2 linked regions of the Drosophila melanogaster genome follow. Each later gene encodes a partner of the first gene's protein in a complex. Each region holds a gene or a part of one and is shown on either strand. Other genes may lie near its edges. The genes, in order: Gem4c and rig.

Region 1 (7,410 bases):
GATATTTTTAGTTTAGCGACTTTTCGATACTTGTCAAGCATTGGTCGTTAAATTACCTTGTAAAATATATATAGTGTTTTTTAAGACAAGATATTTTTTCTATTTTTTTTTATTTAGGTAATTTGAAAATGTTATTAATAACAATTTGCACCAAAATTTTCCTTTCCCTGAATAATGCCATTCAGCTTTTGACAGAATATAAATTAGTTAAATTTATAACATAACGAGTACATGAAATTTAAAAATGTATTAAAATAAATTTTCCTAGTTTTAAGTTACAATTTTGCAACAGGAAGCAAAGCAGTCGAAGTAATACATAAAAATACGAATAAAAATAAGAACATGCAAAATTACAATAATTTTAAGCTTGCCAAAGCATTTATTTAATAGAACACAAATTTGTATTTGATGGTAGTATTACATATTTTATGTAAATATAGTCGGCCTTAAGGACACACAAAGTTGTAAAATAACCTGATATCAAATTATTCTGATGTTCAATCATAGCGTTTTGTATATTATATATATAATACATAATAATACGAAAAAAAAGAACATGCAAAATTTTATTAATTTTCAGCTGAATAACTTCACTTGCTTGCCAAAGTATTTTTAGTAAGACAAAAAATTTGCATGGTAGTGGTACATTTGTTATGTGCATACAGTCGTCCTTTTAAAGGACATACAAAGTTGTAAAATAATCTGATATCAAATTATTCTGATGTTCAATCCTAGCGTTATGAATATTATATATGTTTTTAGTCATATAGAGATCTGACTGCCTAAGAATTAAAGTGTTGGACAAGCGGCGGAGTTTCGATTTGGCTTAAGAAAATTACACTTCTAACAGCATCTCCTTAACACTTGGCCGCCTGCTGTTCCTGGATATTTATGCCGAATCGCACAGCGAAGGCTTTACTAGCTAGCTTCATAATCTCGTTGCGAATGGAGAATGGAGCCTTGGCCACAACGGCCATCAAATGATCCCAATGCTGGCGCTTCGTGATGGTCTTATTGTGTTTGGCGTGGCTCCGGAAGGCGATCAAATATTCTCGAAATAGGAATCTAAAGGCCATGAAAGCGGACTCGCTGTTCACCTTGACCACTGCATCGCTAAGATCGCCCATAACAGCACAATCGGCCCTTTTTTTAAGGAGCTTTTTGAAGAGATCGTTAGCCTCCTGTGCACTGGACTGAGTTAGCAATTTGAGAAAGGAGCGTGTGTCCTTTAAGGTGTCTTCTTTAAGGTAGATGAGCCAAAAGCCCTTGTGCTTTAAACTGTTCACTTGGTTCAAGATCCTCTGGCGGCATTCTGTGAAAGAGCAATAATTAGTAGGCTTTCGTCTTGGACTTACATTTATAAGAGCGCACCAGTGCCTAGGAATGTCAGATGAGACAGACCGTCCTGCCAATACCACACCGCCAGTTCTAAATTATCCACCCGGAAATCTTCAAAGGTGGCCAAGTCCCAGCGTAGGGCATCAATGGTTTTCATGACATGCGAGATCAGCTTCCAGTGTTTCAAACGCCACTCTGGCAAGCTGGCATTCAGATATGTGTAGTGCTTGGCCACCTTGACAGCTGGTGCATCGTCTCCGTTCTCCAATTTCGGGTGCTCCTTTTCGAGTGCATTTAACTCTGCAGTGCCTCGGGTGATTAGATTGCTTTCACCCAGACTAATCTGCTTGAGCAGTTTCAAGATTAACTGCAAGCTGGGCAAGTTCATGGGCTCTATAAACTTGGCCAAACCGTAGGCACACGCGTCTAGGAACCTATTTTGCGCCTGCCTAAGCTCATCCTCTCCGTAGGGACACCGTCCGTCTTTCAAACTAACGCACAGTTGTCGCGCTGACGTGTAGAGACCGTTGAGGATCTGTCGGTGGCCATATAGGTAGAGTGTAAACTGCAAGGCATACGGCTTTTGAAGTAGTTGCTCGTTCACCAAGATGTTATCGGCACAGGCGGAAATATGAAAAGCAGCATGCTTGGGACAAGACTGAGCTATGTGCCAGAATAGCTTCGAGAAGCGAGTATGCGTCACGCCCAAGTGGGAGAAATCAATCCAGGTCTGTCTTGCGTTCTCAAAGCACAGTACTAGAAATTTGGTTATCGGGAAGCGCTTATTATAATCCAATTGATTAAAGAAGCGTATGCGACGCTCCCGATGATCGGGAGCCTTGAAATTAAATCCTTGGGTAACGTTTTGCTCATCGCGCAATAGCAGTACTTCCATCTTGTCCTCGACATTTAATTGCATAAATAAGGGACGCAGTACTAGGCTTAGCAGCTCTTCGTAATCATCGTTGGACGAGGTCTCGTCCTCGTCATCCCCCTGATTTACTTCCGTAACGGATATGCCCTCGTCCTCGACCACCATTTCGGACTCCACCACCTGACCCAGGAAACTGAGTATTATCTGGGCATGTTTCTTGGTGAGCATAATTAAATGATTTGCCATCGTTTCCACGCACTCATCGTTACCAAAGGCTATGAAGCGGCTAAAGAGATTGTCCAGCCCGGCGAGCAACTCCTCATCGGTGGCCATACCGGAATCGAGAAAGACTAAGAGTTCACCCATTCTCATCTCGGCAACGCGCTGCTCCAATGTTTTTGCTGCATCCGCAAAGCTCTGCATCTGCTTGCAAACCGGATGCTCTCCGAGCATATTATCTGATTGGAGTACTTTAAGCAATTCTGCCGTCTGTCTACAGATTAGCTCCTGGCAGTTATACAAAGCACTTTTCGATTTCATTTCATGCCAATACATATACGTGTCTACGCTAACGAGCTGAAAGATACGCCGCAGAACGTCTAGCAGTATTTGGGCGAAATGCCGCAGATCAGGCATGGGATCGCTTGAGTTGCTGTCACTGATGTCCTCGGTTATTTGGCTGTAGACGGCGAAGCAATTTGGTTTCTCCCGCTTTAATGGATCATTGAGGGTATACAAAAGGACTTCTATAAGGTGATCCATAGCCTTGGCCAGGTAAATCTTTCGAGTGGATGGACGCGGCAGCGTATGGAGGCGCTGTTTAGAGTCCAAGATATGACGATGTTCCATGCAGGCTATCTGGCGCAGCAGTTGCTTATTTTCTGCGGGCAAATTGCAGTTGACAATTGCGCGACCGGCTGCTCTGAGGGCGGCAGAGAGCAGCGGTAGTGTTTCCACGCAATCTGAATTAATGACCGACAGAGCCTCATTGAATGCCTCAAAATACTGGATGGTCAGCCAGCGGGGTCCACAAGCAAGGAATTCCTCCAGCGGCTCCATGAGACAGCAGTTAACGGCTATTGCGATGGTCAAGAACAGTGGGATAGGCGGAAGCTGGTTACACAAATGCATGACATTGGCGCTCCACTGCGATTTGCACAAGAAATAGTCGTGTGCGGTGTTCAGCACCAGGTACACCAGTAGTCCACGCAGTTGATTCATAGCAAAAGGATCCATTGTGTCTGGCGGCTGTATGATTAGATCGTGCTCCTCCAGCAGGTCCGTCACTTGGTCGCAGATCTTCTCAATGTGCTCATCGTTTCCTGAGAACAAACAATGTTCATATTTGGGCACTAACCTCTGGTACTTCACTTACCACTCCAGTAAATCATATCTTTCAGACACTTGGCCTGTTCGTTGTTGTCATGGAATATTTTCTTCAGCTGGACAAACAACTGGCAATTGTCCAGCGGGTGCTTCTCAGCAGTTATCATCGTGCTGCCGAAATTTCGCGTTTCGTCAAAACTCTTCCGAAGGAATTCAATTTTATGTGCGTCTTCTGTCAGATGACTATCGAAAATCGATAGTTTACCGGTGCGTACCGATTATCTTGCGTGCAAGGAATATTTTTTGAAAATGAAAATGTCCCTACAACAAAAAATTTCGCTTTGTAATAGACTCTCTGATGTAGATAGATACTAATATGACTTGTCCACTGCTTGCTATGATTTAACTTTAACTTTATTTATAAACATTTTCATATGATATTTTGTATTTTGCTCAGCTGAAAATTAAATGAAGATATTTTATAAAGTATTGTAATGTATTATTCGATAATTAATTATTTGTATTATTATTGTAATGTTTTATTCGATAATTAATAATTGACATTATAAATATTGCGACTTCTCCAAAGTCAACTGCAGTTTTTTAAACAGTGGTCCTATTTAGCAAATGTATTTAAAATAATGCGATTCGCATGCGGCATTTGAGTTTGAAATCTTTTCGATACTTGTCAAGCATTGGTCGTTAAATTACCTTGTAAAATATATATAGTGTTTTTTAAGACAAGATATTTTTTCTATTTTTTTTTTTATTTAGGTAATTTGAAAATGTTATTAATAACAATTTGCACCAAAATTTTCCTTTCCCTGAATAATGCCATTCAGCTTTTGACAGAATATAAATTAGTTAAATTTATAACATAACGAGTACATGAAATTTAAAAATGTATTAAAATAAATTTTCCTAGTTTTAAGTTACAATTTTGCAACAGGAAGCAAAGCAGTCGAAGTAATACATAAAAATACGAATAAAAATAAGAACATGCAAAATTACAATAATTTTAAGCTTGCCAAAGCATTTATTTAATAGAACACAAATTTGTATTTGATGGTAGTATTACATATTTTATGTAAATATAGTCGGCCTTAAGGACACACAAAGTTGTAAAATAACCTGATATCAAATTATTCTGATGTTCAATCATAGCGTTTTGTATATTATATATATAATACATAATAATACGAAAAAAAAAGAACATGCAAAATTTTATTAATTTTCAGCTGAATAACTTCACTTGCTTGCCAAAGTATTTTTAGTAAGACAAAAAATTTGCATGGTAGTGGTACATTTGTTATGTGCATACAGTCGCCCTTTTAAAGGACATACAAAGTTGTAAAATAATCTGATATCAAATTATTCTGATGTTCAATCCTAGCGTTATGAATATTATATATGTTTTTAGTCATATAGAGATCTGACTGCCTAAGAATTAAAGTGTTGGACAAGCGGCGGAATTTCGATTTGGCTTAAGAAAATTACACTTCTAACAGCATCTCCTTAACACTTGGCCGCCTGCTGTTCCTGGATATTTATGCCGAATCGCACAGCGAAGGCTTTACTAGCTAGCTTCATAATCTCGTTGCGAATGGAGAATGGAGCCTTGGCCACAACGGCCATCAAATGATCCCAATGCTGGCGCTTCGTGATGGTCTTATTGTGTTTGGCGTGGCTCCGGAAGGCGATCAAATATTCTCGAAATAGGAATCTAAAGGCCATGAAAGCGGACTCGCTGTTCACCTTGACCACTGCATCGCTAAGATCGCCCATAACAGCACAATCGGCCCTTTTTTTAAGGAGCTTGTTGAAGAGATCGTTAGCCTCCTGTGCACTGGACTGAGTTAGCAATTTGAGAAAGGAGCGTGTGTCCTTTAAGGTGTCTTCTTTAAGGTAGATGAGCCAAAAGCCCTTGTGCTTTAAACTGTTCACTTGGTTCAAGATCCTCTGGCGGCATTCTGTGAAAGAGCAATAATTAGTAGGCTTTCGTCTTGGACTTACATTTATAAGAGCGCACCAGTGCCTAGGAATGTCAGATGAGACAGACCGTCCTGCCAATACCACACCGCCAGTTCTAAATTATCCACCCGGAAATCTTCAAAGGTGGCCAAGTCCCAGCGTAGGGCATCAATGGTTTTCATGACATGCGAGATCAGCTTCCAGTGTTTCAAACGCCACTCTGGCAAGCTGGCATTCAGATATGTGTAGTGCTTGGCCACCTTGACAGCTGGTGCATCGTCTCCGTTCTCCAATTTCGGGTGCTCCTTTTCGAGTGCATTTAACTCTGCAGTGCCTCGGGTGATTAGATTGCTTTCACCCAGACTAATCTGCTTGAGCAGTTTCAAGATTAACTGCAAGCTGGGCAAGTTCATGGGCTCTATAAACTTGGCCAAACCGTAGGCACACGCGTCTAGGAACCTATTTTGCGCCTGCCTAAGCTCATCCTCTCCGTAGGGACACCGTCCGTCTTTCAAACTAACGCACAGTTGTCGCGCTGACGTGTAGAGACCGTTGAGGATCTGTCGGTGGCCATATAGGTAGAGTGTAAACTGCAAGGCATACGGCTTTTGAAGTAGTTGCTCGTTCACCAAGATGTTATCGGCACAGGCGGAAATATGAAAAGCAGCATGCTTGGGACAAGACTGAGCTATGTGCCAGAATAGCTTCGAGAAGCGAGTATGCGTCACGCCCAAGTGGGAGAAATCAATCCAGGTCTGTCTTGCGTTCTCAAAGCACAGTACTAGAAATTTGGTTATCGGGAAGCGCTTATTATAATCCAATTGATTAAAGAAGCGTATGCGACGCTCCCGATGATCGGGAGCCTTGAAATTAAATCCTTGGGTAACGTTTTGCTCATCGCGCAATAGCAGTACTTCCATCTTGTCCTCGACATTTAATTGCATAAATAAGGGACGCAGTACTAGGCTTAGCAGCTCTTCGTAATCATCGTTGGACGAGGTCTCGTCCTCGTCATCCCCCTGATTTACTTCCGTAACGGATATGCCCTCGTCCTCGACCACCATTTCGGACTCCACCACCTGACCCAGGAAACTGAGTATTATCTGGGCATGTTTCTTGGTGAGCATAATTAAATGATTTGCCATCGTTTCCACGCACTCATCGTTACCAAAGGCTATGAAGCGGCTAAAGAGATTGTCCAGCCCGGCGAGCAACTCCTCATCGGTGGCCATACCGGAATCGAGAAAGACTAAGAGTTCACCCATTCTCATCTCGGCAACGCGCTGCTCCAATGTTTTTGCTGCATCCGCAAAGCTCTGCATCTGCTTGCAAACCGGATGCTCTCCGAGCAACTTATCTGATTGGAGTACTTTAAGCAATTCTGCCGTCTGTCTACAGATTAGCTCCTGGCAGTTATACAAAGCACTTTTCGATTTCATTTCATGCCAATACATATACGTGTCTACGCTAACGAGCTGAAAGATACGCTGCAGAACGTCTAGCAGTATTTGGGCGAAATGCCGCAGATCAGGCATGGGATCGCTTGAGTTGCTGTCACTGATGTCCTCGGTTATTTGGCTGTAGACGGCGAAGCAATTTGGTTTCTCCCGCTTTAATGGATCATTGAGGGTATACAAAAGGACTTCTATAAGGTGATCCATAGCCTTGGCCAGGTAAATCTTTCGAGTGGATGGACGCGGCAGCGTATGGAGGCGCTGTTTAGAGTCCAAGATATGACGATGTTCCATGCAGGCTATCTGGCGCAGCAGTTGCTTATTTTCTGCGGGCAAATTGCAGTTGACAATTGCGCGACCGGCTGCTCTGAGGGCGGCAGAGAGCAGCGGTAGTGTTTCCACGCAATCTGAATTAATGACCGACAGAGCCTCATTGAATGCCTCAAA
Region 2 (17,846 bases), on another chromosome or scaffold:
TTAAGGGTCGCGATGAACACAAGCCCGTGGCCATCTGCGTTCACAACATCGATGCGTTGCGACGCTTTGGTCAGGCTGCCCATCTCAGCGACGAGCTGCTAACTCGTTTGCTCCCGGGCCCCCTGACCATCGTGATCGAGCGGACGTCCCAGCTGAGCAACCGTTTCCTTAATCCCAGCACCTCCAAAATCGGCATACGCATTCCGGACTTCAACTTCATGCGCGACCTGTGCGCCGTGTGGCAGGAGAAGCCCCTGGCCCTGACCAGCGCCAATCGCTCCAGTGCGCCCAGCAGTCTGCAGGTGTCCGAGTTCCGTTCCCTATGGCCCCAATTGGGCGCCGTCTTCGATGCCGGTCGAATCGGTCTGACCGAGGAGCGACGACTGGCCTCCACGGTCATTGACCTGGCCACTCCTGGCTACTATGAAATAGTGCGCGCCGGCGTGGCTCTCAAGCCGACACTCAGCCTCATGGAGGAGTTCGGCATTCGGGAGCTAAAAATGATGTAGTATAAGAGCTATTCCTTTGGCTTTAACTTTAATTTTTACTTTGGAACATCCTACTTTGCTTTGCATGCGGGAACACAACAAATTGTTTATAAAATATACGGTTCAGTATGTACACAATTGGAACTATCTTGGGCGCAGGCTCTCCGCCAGTTGGTCAGTCTAGTTGTAGTAGTTGCTGGAGTTCTTGGAGGCCTGTATGGGTCTCCGTCGCCGCGGCAGTTCGTTCTCCAGTATTCGCCAGCGTTCCGGTGGCCACACGATGGCCACTGCCCGCGCGGACATCAGGCCCAGGGCGACGGGTCCAAAGGTATTGCTGTCCATGGAGTGGCCTGTGTGATCGCCCTCCACCCAACAATGTCCTTCGGGTACGCGAACGATCTCGTGCTTGTAGCCCAGCGTGGACACGACGTCGCCCTGCAGCCCCACCACGCGCTTGATAATCTTCTGGGCGGGATCCTTGGGTGAAATGAGCGATATTATGTCGCCGCGCTCCACCTGACTGTTGTGGGTGCCCCAGCGCAGCAGGAACACATAGTCCTTTTCATCCGGCACGGGATTGAGAGCGGGCTGCATGGAGATGCCTGCAAAAAGTTGTGGATTAATTAGCGCACACTAACATGGAGCGAATAAACTCCGGACGACTCACCATCCACCCTGGCCACATAACCAACGCAGTCCAGGAAAGTGACGCCAAGTGGCAGAGCGTACAGCAAGGACTTGCCAAAGAACCGAAATGCCATGGATGAACTGGTTGGAGAGCGGAGCTATCGAGATGAATACATAACCACCAGCCTTTTGCCGAGTTCCTTGTGCGCTCCGGATCTTATGACATTCGCAGCGCAGCGCCGACACGGGTTTTGTTTATGCTAAATACAGGGTGCTTCAATAAAGGCGATGCAGAGGTTCTTGAGCAGATTACGTTTATTGAGGAAGGATATTTGCCAGCTATTGTACTTTAGTTACAGGTGTTTTTTTCCGTTTTGGGTTTATTGTAATTTTGACAGAAACAGGAATGTGACTGGGCAATCGTTCAGCAGCCCTCCAGCTCGCTGGGAATGGGTATCTCGTTCTGGATGGCGAACTGCAGCAGCGCCTTGTACTTGTTCTTCCAGTTGGACACCTCGCGGCGCACCTGCTCGTTGTCCTCGTGCATCTGCTCCAGTTCCGTCCACTCGTACGACTTCTTAGTCTCCAGCTCGTCCTTCTGTTCGATTCTCTTGATGCGGCAACTGGCTGCGTATCCGCGATTCTTTAAGGTTCTCCGGCGCTGCTTCATCCGAACGATCTCCTCGCGGTTCAGGCCACGCATCTTGAGGGTCCGATTAAGATCCCTTACCGAAATGCTCACCAAATCGTCATCGGTAATATCCGGAATTGGACATGGCGAAAGTGGTGCCTGAAAATCGCACTTCTATCAGGGTTTTCTTTCTTCTTCGCATATATCTACAAGGTACGTACCAGGGATGACTTTCTCTCGCGCTTTGCTTCCATTGTGGCCGATTGTATTTTATTTTTACGGAGACTTTTAGAATTTGCTAGATTTTTCTACCTTTTTTTTTTGCGTTGTTATTGTGTGTCTTCTTCTTCCTCTCTACCTGCTGGTTGCCATTCACAGGAAATGGATTGCATAGAGTTGGCAGATAGACAAAAAACGTCTGTGGTAAATAGCGGGTAATTTAAATATACTAAAGCTAACGTGATCCCTAGATTTTAGGCTTTGTAGCATAAGGTACTTAGTTATATTTTTAAATTATTTATATAAAGCAGATCCAGATTTTTGTTATAAATACAAGTTCGAAAATAACAAATTTATATTTTAATTATTATCAATTTTAATTAACTGTTAAGTTCCGTGCCTTCCAGGTGGCATCGCTGGCAAAGTTTAAGAAGCTGCCTAACACTAACAGCTTTACAGAAGTTTTTTCCCCGAACGACGCCAACTGTTAGCGGGAAATATTCCTTCATCCTGCAGATGCCAAGTCCTTATTGTTCGCCATGAACTCGCAGGTGATGTACCACAATGTGCCCACACCGCCGGGCAACGTATCTTTGGCGGCCGCTGCTCCCGACGGCGGTTTGCTGTACGCCGGCATTCGCTGCATCAACTACATATCCGCGCCGCCGGCAAACGGAGAGCAGCCCCAAGTGGTGACCATGTCGACGCGGATCAACATACTGGCCCTGGACGTTAGTCCCATGTGGGGCTTGGGCAACGGTGGGCCGACCAAGCCATTCGCCATTGTGGGCGACGATCTAAGCGTTCAGGTGTGGGACTGCGCATTGGGCGAAGCCGTCATCGGGCACAAGGCCCATCAGCACCAGCACGAGGCGCGGGATGTGCGCGTCGTGCACCACACTACCAACTCCGTGCTGATGAGCTACCTGGCCAATGGTAACATTCTATCCATGGACGCCAGTGATCTGGTCATCTATTGTGTGGCATCCAACACCTACTGCCGTCGCTCCACTTTCATCTCGCCCCGAAATCACCAACTCACTATGGTGCGCTGCTCGCCCTACAATGACAATTTGTTCGCTGTGGGAACGGCTATGGGTAATGTGCTGGTCTGCGATCTGCGCAAAATGAACATCGTCTACAAGTTCCACGGCCACAAAGCGCCCATATGCGGCTTAGCCTGGCGGGAGGTGCCTGCTGCCGAGGACGAAAAAACCAATAATCTGGCGTTAAGTGCTGAAGAGTGGCGAAGCCGCAATGGCGGCCAGGAGGAGAAACCCAAGACAAAGCCACCACCACTGACCAAATCGAAGGCAGCCGAATCCGACGACCCTTTCGACATATACAACTTTGATCATCTTGAGTACGAGTTCGGTGCACCTATAGCTGAACGCCGCCGCAAATCTTCAGAGGATTGTGGCGGCGAATTTGTGGGTCTAGAGAAGCCAGCTGGTGCCGCTGTCTTAGATTTCGTTGAGGCCTGCGAGAGTGTGAAAGCCGAACTCTTAGCCAGTCGCCAGGAGGATAAAACGCAGCACGTGGAGGTCACGCTGCATGACTGCGAGCCCACAAAGCCTACGGGTCCCTTAAGTGATGCCAGCACCATTAGCAACAAGAACGATGCCAGCGACTCGACCGAGGGCAGTCTGGAGGTCATCCAGTACAGCTCGTCCAGTGATGATGCCGTGATCGTCGATGGCGAGGCAGCAAAGCCCAAAAGAGAAGTATTGCATCACATCTACCACCAGGCCGAGGTACATGCTTCAGGAACACCGCAGACCAAGTCTGAGCCTCAGAGTAATCTCCAAGTTGTGCCGGCCATCAGCGCGGAGACCATCAGCTTGACATCCGTGAACAGCACCCACTTGGAAACTCTGCTCGTGTCCATTGACGGCGATGAGGTGATGATGATCTGGAATACCAATACGGGAGCGCATGCTGGCAAGAACTACAGCAAAAGCAAGACGGCGGGTAAGTGGAAAGAATCAAACCATTGAAAGCAAGCATTCAACTGGGATCTTTTCTTCAGGCAAGCTTAACAACGTCTACTGGCTGAACAACCATGTCATTGTTTCCCTGAGTCGCCATCAGTTATTCTTTTGGTCCGTGGAGTTCGAGCGCAAGATGCTACGCTACAAGATCAGCAAGGATAAATCACACAGCTGCCATTTGCAAGACATCGTGTCCTTTGCCTGTGACTCCAGCAAAGAGATGATATGGTTGTGCAGAAACAATCGCCAGATTGGAATGATGAATCCTAAAACTGGCCGGATGGCTGACTTTTACGGAACAGTGGCGTTTGGAGTGCGAGCGATGGCCGAGTGTCCAGATGATATGAACAAGTAAGCTAATAAGATAATATGCCATTCGCAAACGTTGCTAAACTGTTTTTCGTTTAGAATCGCTTTGGGTTGTTCGGATCGCCGTGTGGCCTTCTTCGATATATCGAAGCTCACCACCAGCTGCCTGCCCATCGACAGCGTTTATGTGTCCAGCAACGTCTACTGCCTGGCTTGGAGTCCAAACTGCTTGGAACTGGCCTTTGGCACCTTCGACGGAACGGTATGGCTTTGATTTCGTCTATTTTATTGGATATTGAACCTAAATATACAACTCAACAACAGGTGGGCATCCTGGATGTGGAGCGCATGAAAGTAAAGACACACTTACGGACGCCGCACAAAAAAGAAGTCTACTCGCTTGTGTGGCAGGACCACTTTATATACTTTATTGTGAATCGTGTTCTAGGTTTCTTTGATTTAAGAAAATCGAAAATCGGTGAGTATATGTTCTTAGCCGTTCTCTACTTATGTTGCCGACAGTTGTAGGTTTGATTCTGTGCGTTGCGCCTTCCGTAACTAATGTTGGTCTGCGCGTCGTTGGTCTGCTTCTTACGTATATTGGCCAAGTGGATTGTCTCCCGATGATAATCCCACGCATTCCATGTTACGTTTATCCAGTTTGCTGGCGTTAGGTCGTTGGTGACGACCATTTCGGTTTGACACTCAAAATCTGTCTGCTTTGGTGGCTCAACTACCAGATTCTGCAGTTCCTGCTCTATTAGCGCATCGTCCAATTTGAACAGCAGAGCCAGGTTCGCATTGTTGAAAACCACTTTTCTAAAGGCGGCTATGAAAGGCTCAAATCGCAGCTCCGCGAATCGAGCGTATCTTGGGTCCCGGAAACCAAATGTAATGTCCACATTGGAGCACAGCTTTCTGGTCACCTGGGCCGGCATAAGCAGGCCGTTGGTAATGGTCATGGCTAGAGAGCAAAACTCCTTTATATCTGCCTTGTTGAGCTTGCAAAAGTTGCCATCGGTCTGCAACTCCTTCACGGCATCCATGCGTTCCTCAAAGCTGCAGACCTTGGGCTTCTTTATCCGCTTATGAAGCGCCTGCAGCTCGGCAATCGTAGCCTTTGTCAGGGTCATCAAGTCGTCGACGACCAATGCCTCCACCTGCTCCCTCAGCTTGTTTAACTCAACAATGTGGTTCAGGTAGTTGTTCAGATTGCCCCACACCTGAGAGAGGTACACAAAGTGCGGCTGAAAGCGGGAAACGAAATTGGAGAAATTCTCATCTTTTAAATGAATACATCACTTACAAATATAAGCTCCGAATCAATAGCCGTGCGCATGGATAGGGTATCATCAATCTTGCAGATCACGCATTGATATCGCTTATGCTCCACTTCAATTAGGTACACTGTCTTCTGGTAATGTTCGTTCAGAGTCGTCAGACAGCGATGGAGCATAAAGTAGGTCGCCGCAAACTGGTTAAGCCGATCCAAATGTTCGAGGGGCACGCGGTAGGTCAAGGTCTCGTCCTTATGATCTATGTTTATGAGGTCATCCAGTGCCGCCTGGCAAGTGGACTGCATCTTGACCGCCCTTCCCATACTGGCTGCAAATGCGGCTTCCGTGTTCTTCTGGGCCATTTCCAGATCATCGACCACTAAGAAGTATACAGCAGATATGAAATATGAAATGGTTTGCCCTATATGCACATACCGCTTCTAACATTCTCCCGATCTCCATCGGGGCCATCGTTGTTATAGATCACAATGCCGCCCACGGTCGCCGACAAGCGTTGAAGATACTCTAGCCGATGGTACTTCTTCTTCAGGACATAATTCTGTAGGTCACTTCGACCGATGACGCTGTTGAGAGCCTGGGCAGTCAGCTTAAGCAGAACATGATTCTTGGGCGAGCCCAGACTGTAGCAGGCCACTATGAAGACCTGCATCTTTGCGAAGAGCTGGTCCAACTGCACTTTACTGCAAGTCTCGGGATACTGAAGGATATCCTTGATTAGCAGCTGCAGTTCGGTTTGGAACTTTTCCTCGTACTTCTTCTTGACGTATTCAAGGTCTATGGTTACTCCCTTTTTCATTACCCAAGCCATCTTCATGTTGGCCATAGTGCAATCTTTCGAATTGACATAGCTATCCACAATTGTATTCACGAAACCCTCAATGGCACAGGCGGTTGGCTTATTGAGGTCGTACTTCAGGAGACCTTTGCGCCGATCTCTTGCCAGCAAATGAACCATGTAGATGACAAACTCCTTGTCGACCCTGAGATCCAACTGTTTGAAGCGCTTCATAATACGATGACCAATGCTCACTAGAGTTTTGTGTCGCGGCATTTTGGTAAACAGAACAATTTAACCTATTTCGATGAAAGGAAATGTGTAATGTGGTTTGCTTGCTAAGTTTTTGATACGTGTGATATTTGTTGCCCTTGGCTACAGTTTAATCGATTTCATTTTCTTCAAGTAGCACAAATTACTCATGCCATCGAGCTTTTGTTATTCGAGACTTTTAGGCTTGTTTTAATTAATTGTTTCCCACAAATCATTAAAATGATCGCACAATTAGGTGCGGACCTAAAAGACAACAATGGACTTAAAACAAAGAGTTTTTCGTCATTCTGACTAGATTTAATTGTGTTTTAAGTTAATGGATGTATGTATTACTTAAAGGTAAAGCTAGTCAAAGATACATATAAAGTTAATTTAAAATATGCCATTATTATTTTCTTACAGAGCCCACAATTGTGAACTGCATTTCTCGACCCAGTTACCTCAGCATCCGCGATTCTTTCCTTTTTGTTGGCACCGATGATGGACTGCTGCAGATCCATGAGCGCGATTCGGGAATGGAGAAGTCGTGGTCTCCATTTATCCGCCAATCCGCTTTGTTTGCTCGTTATGTGACCGATATCGCCTGGTGCCCGCTGGACAGCAATAAGTTTGCAGTGTCGGGCAACGATAGGTCCGTGTACGTGATGGAGTTTCAGCCCACGGAGCGCAATTGGAAAACGCTTCACACATTTACGGCAAACACAGAGAAGGCGTCGATTACCTCGATGAGATGGAGTCATACCCAGAAGCACTTGCTGCTCACCTTTCATATCGAGGGAAAGGTGTGCCTGTGGAACTGCAATGCGCCAGAGAAGCCACCGCTAACCATCACCTACCACTGCCCCATGTGGTGTGGAATGTTTTTGCCCACCAACGAGAACATCATTATGTGCTCGGGAAAAGCTCTCTCCGTGGAGCTAATTGACATTAAGGACGCGCTGGAAGGCGATGAGAAAAGCATCTGTCCCAAGGTGGATGCTCTGTTAAATGTTAAGTGGGCTAGCAAATCCCTGACCCAGCCATACGCTCCAGTTCTCACAGCGGCTGAAAAGAAACGGCAGCGCCGGGATCAACGCAAAGCAGCGGCTAAGCTCGAAGTTGACGTAGCTAACAAGGATCAAAAGAAAATTCAGGAGTCAGTTACTGCAGTTATTGATAATCCAACCAACGATAAATGTACGCAAGAAACTCCTGTTGAAGAGATGTTGGAAGCGCTTAGCTTGGACAAGGAGCAAAATAATAGAAGTGCCAAAGAATGCCCAAAGTGTAAAGAGCAGTCACCTGACAGTTTCACAGTAAGTTATCCATGTGCTCTTGATTCGACTGAAACCCAATAACATATTTACCAACAGCATAGCCGCACCTGTCTTTACCTTACCCAGAAGGAGCTCAACAAAAGTGCCCTTGAGAAGCTGGCCATTGTTCTTACAGAAGACTCTGCCAAGATCGACAAGTCGGTGCTCATATCGAAGCTGTTCAGCTCAAAAGTGATGGCCAAGGAGCTCATTGCAACCGAGTGTAATTTCACTAACTGACTTATAGTATTTAAAATGCTAACGATAAATGTAATATTTCAGTGACCAATCTGAAGCACTCAAACACCAAAGACATAGCTCCACTTTGCCTGGCCATGTCCACGTTCAAATTACGCGAGGAGCTGGAGCAGCATATAGCCAACAAGACGCTTACCGAACGCCATGTTTCGCTGGCTCCCTCCGTTTCTTTTACGTAAGTTTCTACGTTTTTGTTGTAAATCGGTTTTGTCTTTAGTCTATATTTCTTGCAGACTTTGGCAGGACTGCTGTCGCGCTTATGCCAAGCAGATGGAGGAAAAAGGCTACATCATGCACGCAGCTACGTATCTTTTTAGTCAAGGAATGCAATCGGAAGCCATCAAACTGTTCCTGGCCAATGAATACTATAAGGAGGCCCTTGTACATGCGCGTATTTGCTTGCCAGCAACGGATCCCCTGATCAAGACCGTAATTAACAATTGGCTCGAGCATCTGGAGGGGACGGGTAACTTTGCAGCAGCAGCTCTGATGTAAGTGACTAAAACTAAACTATAGACAAATGTTTAAGCATCCTTTCTGAATCACTTAACAGCTGCGTTCTGGACAATGAGATGCTGCGTGGATACTCCTATCTAAGAAAATACCGCAACTGCACTCCGGAAATTGCCGATCTTATGGACCAAATCAAACGGATTGGCCAGCTGGGCGGCGTTCTAGATGGTTGTGCTCCCAATGAGCCGATCCACAATGGATCTACTGCCGAGCATTAAGCCTTAAATCAACATTTTTGTAAGCGTACTTTTAGCTGAAACTGGCTGTACTAGTGTAACTCATTTGAAATCCCCCGATACAATCATAAAGCTATTATCTATTAGTTAGGCATTTACAAATGTTTTCCATTAATTTGAATAGCCAGAAACTGTGTGGAATTGAAACCGATTTGAGTCGCCTTTGCTATACTTTTATTTTAATTTAATTTACCCTTAAGAAAAGATGAATACAAGATACATATATCAATGGCACAATAGCTAGTAAAACAAACACACACAAATTGAATTTCGAATAAACGAAAAAGCGAGAAAAAGAAACCGCAGCTCCAGTGGGCTTTAATTAGAACAAGCAGCTGTTCCGGCGGCCAGAAACCATCAGTTATCAGGCGTAAAAGCTGGCCCAAACAAAAGTATGACCGTTAGGCCCCATTTTCGTCTGGGCTTTGGCATCACATTATGCAAATGACCGGGTTCCCCAGCCCGCCGACAGCATCACTGCCGCCAGTTGGGAATTAAGTTTTAATTGTTGGAACAAGAGTCAGGGCGACTGAACTTGCTGCACAACAGCAGCAGCAGCGAAAACAAACGAAACCAACAGAAAAATGTAAATCAACAAAACGACACAGGCCAGAGCAAAACTCTAGAGCGCTAGAGCTGGCAAACAAAACTTCGGGCTGTTGTGCTCTTCAGTTGCCAAACAGCCGCCGTAGCCGACGCAGTGGTCGCAGAGTCGTTCGGCGAACCAAGTTCGTTTCCTCAGTCTTTCGAATTTCACTTTTAACCGTTTGCAAGCGCGCCAAGTTGAAGCGTACGCGTACCGTTAGCGCGGCACGTTACGAAGTGAGTGATCCACACACATATATCGACCATTCTCACGTCCGTCAACTCTGACTCTGACTTGACCTGGTGCTGGTGGCCAAACCGTTGTACAATTAAATAACAATCAAATTATAATTGCATGCAAGCACATTTCGCTTTTGCGATGAGACAAAAAACACGCAGGCAAACGAGTTCTCCGCTCTTTATTTAATTTGTGCGCGCAGTAAAAGTGCCAAGAACCACTAGGTGCTGCTGGTGGTGGTGGCGCTGATTTTTGTTGTGTGTGGCTTTACGTGCCCCATTAAAGTCGTCGTCGGTCGGGCGACGCAATTTGCATGAGCGACAGCTTCGAATCTTTTCAACAATTTGTACTACGCTGAGTGACTCAACGCTAAACAATTTGGTGGAACGCGTGTGTGAGTGCGTCGCTGAGAAAACATTTCTTGCTTGACTGATAATTTCTACGAGCCGCGCTTATTGTTCATTTAGTTTTTGGTATTTCTCGTGCCTGTTGTAACTGCTTGGGATGGATGGCTGGCTGGATGGATCGCTTGCAATAACAATCATAATGCGAAGTGAAAGGTACATTTTACATCGCATCGATATCCATATCCATATCCATATTATATACACATAATAGATGACTGCATTTTGAAACGCACTGGCGCAGCATAGCGGCAACGCATTGGATTGGCCTTTTCATTTTGATTTCGATTCCATTTCGATTTAGCTGCGACTTCATAATAACAATTTGCATAACTTTACCGCTGCATTGTTGCTCATTCATGCATTCGCATCCACTGTTGTTCACATTGTTGCACTTATGCTATTGAACTCGCATAGTAAACAATAACGAAATGAAATGGAATTAATTTAATTGCCCGTGCAGACAATGCAAAATATTTTGAAATGTTGCTCGCATTTATACGCTCCCACCGGGTTCACCGAAATTATGCATGCTGGATCTGCATAATTTCGTAATCCTCGCCGCATGGGTGTGGCACTCAGTCAAGGGCGCTGCGAAATCGCTTGCCACCTTTTCCCGGCGCTGAGTGCTAATAAATGGTGGTCGAATGCCGCCGAAAAACCCGTTTTGAAAATAACTACAGCTCTGCCCCCGAAAAACCGGACAGCCCAGCCAAGAATGAGTGTGTCCAGCTAATTAGCAATAAAACAAACTTGGCTTGCAATTCTTTCCGGCCATTGAAGAAAGTCACAGTCACATCCACAGTAGCTCGGGAAAAAACAAAAAACCTGGTGATTGGTGTCTTGGCTTGCAACGTCGGCGGAATGTCAATGGGGCAAGTGGCCACCCCAACGCTTTAAGGTGCGCATATCCGGTGCGTCGCTCCTTTTTTGGGCCGCAAGACGAAGAGCACGCAGCCAAACCCATGGATACGCCCGCGATGACTATGATCCTCATCATCATCATCATCATCACAGTCGCAGACCATGATGAGCACGATGAGCTCGGCGCACCTGCGTGCTGACGACATTGAGCCGACAAGTTCGTCGCCTCTATTTTGATGACGATGTCTATTATGGGCGGATTACCACCGTATCCGAATAAGCGGATAACTGGGCTCCGCATCTCTGGGCGATGTGTTGGCGAGCCATCTCAATTGTTTACACTCCACAACACGATTTCGTGGGCCAGGCAATGGGATAATTGGTCTGGTTTTTTTTCACTACAAGTGCCCACGGAATCGGTTTTCTTAATGAGTTGAAATAAATCATTAGATTACCATCCATTTGTTAATTGCCTCACATTTCGCATCACGATTCATTTAATACATTTCACTTTTCATTTTTCTTTTGCTTGCTTAGTTGCTTAAAGTTATTACGAGATTTATTTACTAAATAAATTTTTGCAGCGCAGTGTAATTGATTAATAGGTTTGCTAATGCCGATCTAGCGAATTCATTTGTCATGACATAAGTTGACTTGTAACTGGCAATAGGTAAACAATTTCAGTCAGCAGTTAACCAGAAGGTTTAGGGTCAAATATTTGCTTCGACGAGCAAACAAAAGACTTGGACAACGAACTCGCAGTGTCGAAAAGTGAAAATCTTCTAAATTATATAGCACAGTCCGTTAGCTGAGTGGCTGAGAGTGTTTGTTTGCTGATGTCTTGGCCTGTATGCGCGTACATATGTGTAGCAGCCGAAACAAGTTCGTTGCCTAAGTCTTTTGTTCCGAACCGTATCGAACTGGACGACGCATCTCATCGCATTTCATCTCGGAATTCTCATTTCAGCACCAACCTAGCATGACACCGCTCAATTGGGCCGCTACTTAACGCTTTCATTCAACCCAGAAGAGGTCTGGACTCGAAACCCATTCGAACATAAACCAAGAACTAGAACACATCGCATCGCATCGTATCGCATCGCACCACTGGCCTCCTCCTTTGAAAAAGGGGAACCAAGGCCACCCTCCCGCTAGCCAGCATAATTTCTCTTGAAAAACCGCATTCACACATTTGCTTCACACCACAACCGCAACAACCGAATAACACGAATAATGAATTATCAGAAGGCCAGTGAAAAGCAGTCGTCGTCCTCATTGAAGAAGCGGCCGCCGGGCAACGGCAATAGCATACAAAACTTTTGGAACGATCGCATTATGGAGCGCTTCATAAAGGCGAATCTATTCATTATCTGCTGCGTGGTGGCGGTTCTATTGCTGGTAAGTATATCTCTAGGTGAGATATATATCTCCATATCGCCACCATCTCTCCAACCCACTATATCTTCGTCCGTCCGTCGGACTGTCCGTTACCGTTATCAGCGTGAAAACATTTCTGCTCCATTAAGTGAAAATGAAATGAAATCGTTTTTGCGCAAATGTAAAAATTTCATCTCTTTTTGTTGCTGTCCAAGTTGACAGCTGTGGAGGGAGGAGAGGTGCGAGGTAGCTCATTAATTGATTGATGGATGGTTGCGGAGCACAGTTGTCTCCGGCTTTTTATGTTTATGTTTTTCGTGCATCTATATCTCTGGCTGCCATCGACTGATTTATGTTTTCGCTTTTCTTCTGCGAATCTCGGCTAATTTCCATTTCACTTCTTCTTCTTCCCATTTGCGATCTCGCTGCCTCGCTACAGATCGTCTATCTGGGTGCCTTCTCGTGTGAGGTCTCGTGGATACTGGAGGCCCACGGCGAGCTGCCCTTCGCCGCCTACACGCTCTGCTCGCTCTACTTTGTCATGTTCGTGGCCACCACGATCCTTATCCACGGCCTGGTCAGCGGACTCTGCTGGCCGTTGTTCGCCTGGTCGGGCATCATCGGTCTCCTCTCAATTCCAGAGCTGGTCTTTGTCATGATCATGACCACACAGCACTGGGTAAGTTGAATTTATGACTTCTTGAAGTAAAATGAAGTAACTAATTTATAAATGCTAAAACTACAACTATTCTAAATACGACTAAAACATTAGGGTCTGCAATCTGTGCATGGATTAACGGAGCTCACCTCCTACCTGATTCGCCTCATCATCAACTGCTTCGCGCTGATCTGTGTGATTCCCACGGGCATCAGGTGGCGACGGGAGACTCAGGTGTTGAGTCAGCTGCAAGGATTGGCCACCAGACTTTCCCTGCAGACTCCAGCGCCCAGTGTGCCCATTACAAAGGCAGATTCCCGGCGATCCAGCCAGCGGCTAAGTGGATTCGAGAATGCCGGCTACCAGCTGTGCGATGAAACAGCTTCCAAGTTGCCACTAGGGCCAGGAATGGGACTGGGCATGAACAACCAGTGTGGAGGCAGTCAAGCATTTGGCTCGCAGAACGAATTCAACGCCAGCATGTTTGCACCCGCATTGGCACAGCAGTTCAACAATGCCACGTTGATGCAGCGCGGCGGAACAGGCGGAGCAGGTGGTGGTCATCGCGCCCAGTCGCTGATGGATCTGCGCTGCACTCTGCCCGGCATGTACAATCCACGACATGTGCTCGATACGGAGGATAAAAACGCCAAGTACTTCAACATCACCATCGACGATTTGAAGAACAATCTCCACGACTCGCACCGACCATCGCCGCCTTCGCTGATCGGTTCCACCAGCAACGATCCCATCTACTGCTCCATTGAGCCCAAGCAGTTGACACCGCCACCGGCACAGCAGAGGAGCCACCATCGTCCACGCGGCACACACAAGCAGCCACCACCGGGTAAACTGTCCCGGAATTGCGTATCCCTGGAGAACCTTGACGGGATCAGCAAGGTGCAGAATGATCTGACCGCCTACGGGAACAATCTACTCCAGAACTACACGCAGCAGCAGCAGTATTACCTGGCCATGCTGCTTCACCAGCAGCAGCAGCAACAGCTGCACCACCAGCAGGCTGGCGGCATTTACCGCAGGCCATCCAATTGCAGCTCCACTGGCGGATTCGCCGGCACCGTGCTGGCCCAGCCGATGCAGCGACGCGGCTCCACGCACAGCCAGCAGATGCAGTATTACGGGGGCTTTGGCTATGCCAACTACACCAATCCGTACATCACGGCCAACAGCAAGTTGTCGCTGGGCAACGAGTCCGACGATTACCGGAAGTACCGCGATGTGGCTCTTTGAGTCCGTTTTTTTGGTTCTGGAAACCGGATCCCAATCGATCATCAGTCAGCGTTTAGGTTAAGCTCACTAGTTGTAGGATATGCTCGATCTAGAATGAGATTCCTCGGAATAACGACCAAAGAGCCACAAACTAACTCAGTTTCAGTTCGTAGACTAACGTTACACTGCGAGAATCGTATAGCGCGTTTATGCGCCAGTCAATTTGTAGCTTAAATGGGTCTGCATTCAGTTTTATTTGCTTTACTGAATAACACGACCTATTTGCAAATAAAAGTGTACTAAATATGAGACTCCATGGGGATATAATTTTATATGCAAATAAAAGTAATCGTAATAGTAAATATCACGAAATATCAGACGTACTCAAAAATATAAATAGATATTTCTAAAACAAACAAATATCAAAAAGCATACCCCCCCAATAAGAGAGGCACTGTATGAAAATTGCCCAAGTCTAGTTCTAAGAATCGAACACAAATGAACATTGACATTCATTGTTTATTATAGTTAATAGGAATACGAATAACAATACTCTGATCGACAGTCTAACCATCCACAGATCAAAAAGTGTACATACTTGTAATAAAAGGCGTAACTGTTTTCTCACTTGAAATCAAGAAGATCGGCCAATGGATTATCACCGGAGTTTGATGGAATGGTAGCAGTGGGCGTGGTGGTTTTACTGGCAGGTGGTTTACTTGCTGTCCTGGCCGCGGGTTTGGTCTTTTTGGCAGCAGCTGCTTTGGACGTGGAGCTTCCTCCGAACAGGTCATCATCGTCGTCGTCGTCGCTAAAGAGACTTTTGCTTGGTTTCACTGGCAACTTCTTAGCAGGAGCACTCTTTACAGGCACTTCGGCTTCCTCATCATCGCTGCTGAAAAGAGAAGTCGCCGCTGGTTTGGGGGGCTGTTTAGCTTGGACGGGCTTGCTGGCGGTTTGGATACTAGGAGCTCTGGCAAACAGATCATCATCATCGTCGTCGCTATCATCAAACAGTTTCGGCGCAGCCTGTGACTTGGGTTTAGCAGCCTCCTTGGCATTCGATGGTTTCGGAGGAGCAGTTGTGACTTTTTGAAAAGCATTCATGATTTCTGCTGCAAATGCTTTTTGCGCGGTAGTAGTTGCATTTGTTTTTACAGAATCAAATAGGAAATCATCTTCATCTGGGCTGGCCAAAAATGAGTTTGCCATCTTTGGCGGCTTCTTTTCTACTGGAACTACATTGATACCCGCCTTGTTATTTTCAAGATCACTGAAAAGCTTATCATCTGCATCAGGGCTGTCCAAAAACGAGCGATATGACTTCGGCGGATCAGTACCCTGCTTTCCCTCAACTGTTTTTGTCGGGACGGAATTAAAAAAGGAATCATCCTCATCGGGGCTGTCCAGAAATGAGCCACCAGTGTTAGATGGCGGCGGTCTTTGGAGCTGCGGCTGAATTTGCTGGGCTGGGGTTGAAAACAGCTTTTCAGGTTTAACATACTGAGGAGAGGGTGCCTTAATGGAACTTCGCTCAGAGTGTTCAACTTCTGGGCTATCTCTAGTCGAAGCTGTTGGGCCTTCATTTTGCCCAGCATCCAATAAGCTTTTGGCATAGTTTTCCTTTCTTCCTCTTCTGGTAGATGGTCGCCTTTTGGCAGGTCCACGAGCGCGAGATTTGTTCACATGCTGCAGGACACCGTCTGCAGAAGAAACAGTGTTTTGTCCAGAACTTGGTGCCTCAGCCTCAGTCTGAACTGTCGCTTGAGGTTCATCTCTCTCGGAACTCGATGATTCTTGTTTCCTGATCAGCTTTGGCACGCTACCAGAACCCGGAAGAAGGGCATGTACATTGATGTTAATATTAGGCATTTTCAGCTTCTTAACGGGCGAAGTGGGTTTCTGCAATTCAGGCGTCTCCTTAACTTCACTACGATCAGTTTCATCAGCTGGCGGTGGCTCGTCATCGAAAGGGAAGCGTTTGGGCGCTGGCTGCACTGCTCCTGCCCTTGCAGTCTCACTGAAATCATCGTAGAAGATTGTGTGTATTCGGGTGGTTGACGCTAGTTCGTCCTTCTGAGGTTCAGCTTCCTTCTGCACTTCTTCGCCTGCATGATCGTTATCTTCGGGTGGCACATCACTAAACAAGCACATGGCACCGTAGTCAGACGACACAGAAGGTTGATCCCCCGGCGTCACTGGAGATGGCTTTGTCGCACTGGGAATGTTTGGCAGAGCGGGTTCGAAGAAGTCGTGCTCGTTGTCAAAGATTTTGGAGGCACTTAGGCTGCTGAGACCGCTGCTGCCAAGCGTTTGAAAGAATTCACTGTCATCCGGCGGTTCGTCGGAAAAGAGATTCGAGTAATTTTGCATGATTTGCTGCGCAGCAGCCAAATCCGCCGGCTTTCGCGGGGTAAGTGTATCCACTGATGTTTTATTGGTGACATCAGCCACCATTGATATAATGGGATCTACGTTGCTTTGATAATCGTCTGGTGGTGGAGTTTCCGAAACGGGTTCATCTATTTGAGGCTTACTTAACATTTCGGGCACCAGTTCATCCTTTTCAACGACAGCTGTTATTTCATATATTTTGTTCTCTGGCAGTTGCTGTGGCAATTCTTCTGCTTTAATCTCTTTCACCAGCTGCACCTCAGATGGTTTTTTAATATCTTCGTTTTCTGTACCAACTAATGGCTCATTCTTGGACATAGATGCACTCAAAAATGTATCATCATCGCTAAAATCTTCGTTAAACAAATCAGTTGGTTTGATAGATAGTTTTGTAGGAGGATTCACTGGGGATACATTTTCCTCAGTTTGCGAAGTATATTTTTCAATTGGTTTGTTAAATTCATTAGTTTCATTAGCACTTTTTGGCTCAGCCATATTATTTGAAGTACTAGAGAATAGCTCATCGTCGGTTAAGTCTTCACTGAACAAATCTTTAGATTTGGTAATATTTGCTGCTGATGTATCATCCTTAACCGCCTCCCATTCTTTATCATCAGACTTTTGTTCCGTAACTTCCATGGGAGGAGGTGAATCTCTGAGAATAGGCACAGATGCATTTTCTGCTATTACTTGATGCTGCTTTTCTCCAGTTTCTATATTCTTGGATTTCTGTTCTGCAATCTCACTTTGTTTCTTATCTTCTCCAACTGCTTCAGGATCATTATCTGGTTCACTTCTAATTAAGTTCTTAGCCTTTGGGGTTCCAAACAAATCCTCATCTTCAATATCATCAAAGAGACTTTTCTTTGAAGCTACAGGTGTTTCAACATTTTTGTTGGGCGAAACTCCCGAAGACGTCTCCTTTGGAATTACCTTTGCCTTTTTCGAACCAAACAAATCAGTGACATCATCTTGATCATCGTCTTCAAACAAACTTGTCTTTCCAGCTACTCTTTCAGATAGCTTTTTCGGTTGAGCAGATGGTTTCGTAAATATATCATCGATATCCAAATCATCATCATCAAATAAGGAGGGCTTTGGTTTTGAGAGCAGTTTTTGTTCTGGTGGCTTTGCTTTGGGCGTAAAGGAGCTCAAGAAGTCGTCGTCCTCCAAGTCATCATCG

The links.
Region 2: Gem4c (region 1) and rig share a complex: the UniProt entries of both Drosophila melanogaster proteins name them as parts of the core survival motor neuron (SMN) complex.

The regions. Positions count from the first base shown.
Region 1 is NC_004354.4:3,941,551-3,948,960, reverse strand, and holds Gem4c (gemin 4c), read right to left. Parts: upstream 3,919-7,410; 5' UTR 3,706-3,918; coding exon 3,588-3,705; intron 3,535-3,587; coding exon 1,372-3,534; intron 1,313-1,371; coding exon 858-1,312; 3' UTR 501-857; downstream 1-500. Other genes in the region: Gem4b (gemin 4b), read right to left, coding at 5,054-5,508, 5,568-7,410. UniProt on the Drosophila melanogaster protein: Component of the survival motor neuron (SMN) complex that catalyzes the assembly of small nuclear ribonucleoproteins (snRNPs), the building blocks of the spliceosome, and thereby plays an important role in the splicing of cellular pre-mRNAs.
Region 2 is NT_033778.4:20,625,240-20,643,085, reverse strand, and holds rig (rigor mortis), read left to right. Parts: upstream 1-2,404; 5' UTR 2,405-2,504; coding exon 2,505-3,936; intron 3,937-3,994; coding exon 3,995-4,307; intron 4,308-4,364; coding exon 4,365-4,527; intron 4,528-4,589; coding exon 4,590-4,743; exon of another isoform or gene 4,744-4,768; coding exon of another isoform or gene 4,769-5,512; intron 5,513-5,571; coding exon of another isoform or gene 5,572-5,921; intron 5,922-5,977; coding exon of another isoform or gene 5,978-6,614; exon of another isoform or gene 6,615-6,694; intron 6,695-7,013; coding exon 7,014-7,906; intron 7,907-7,963; coding exon 7,964-8,129; intron 8,130-8,188; coding exon 8,189-8,339; intron 8,340-8,397; coding exon 8,398-8,655; intron 8,656-8,717; coding exon 8,718-8,895; 3' UTR 8,896-9,210; downstream 9,211-17,846. Other genes in the region: Tcs1 (Threonyl-carbamoyl synthesis 1), read left to right, coding at 1-509; CG11110 (uncharacterized protein), read right to left, coding at 669-1,090, 1,156-1,249; maf-S, read right to left, coding at 1,540-1,920, 1,968-2,000; CG13436 (uncharacterized protein), read right to left, coding at 4,769-5,512, 5,572-5,921, 5,978-6,614; Rcd6 (reduction in Cnn dots 6), read left to right, coding at 12,238-12,402, 12,821-13,060, 13,154-14,290; FAM21 (family with sequence similarity 21), read right to left, coding at 14,894-17,846. UniProt on the Drosophila melanogaster protein: Component of the survival motor neuron (SMN) complex that catalyzes the assembly of small nuclear ribonucleoproteins (snRNPs), the building blocks of the spliceosome, and thereby plays an important role in the splicing of cellular pre-mRNAs.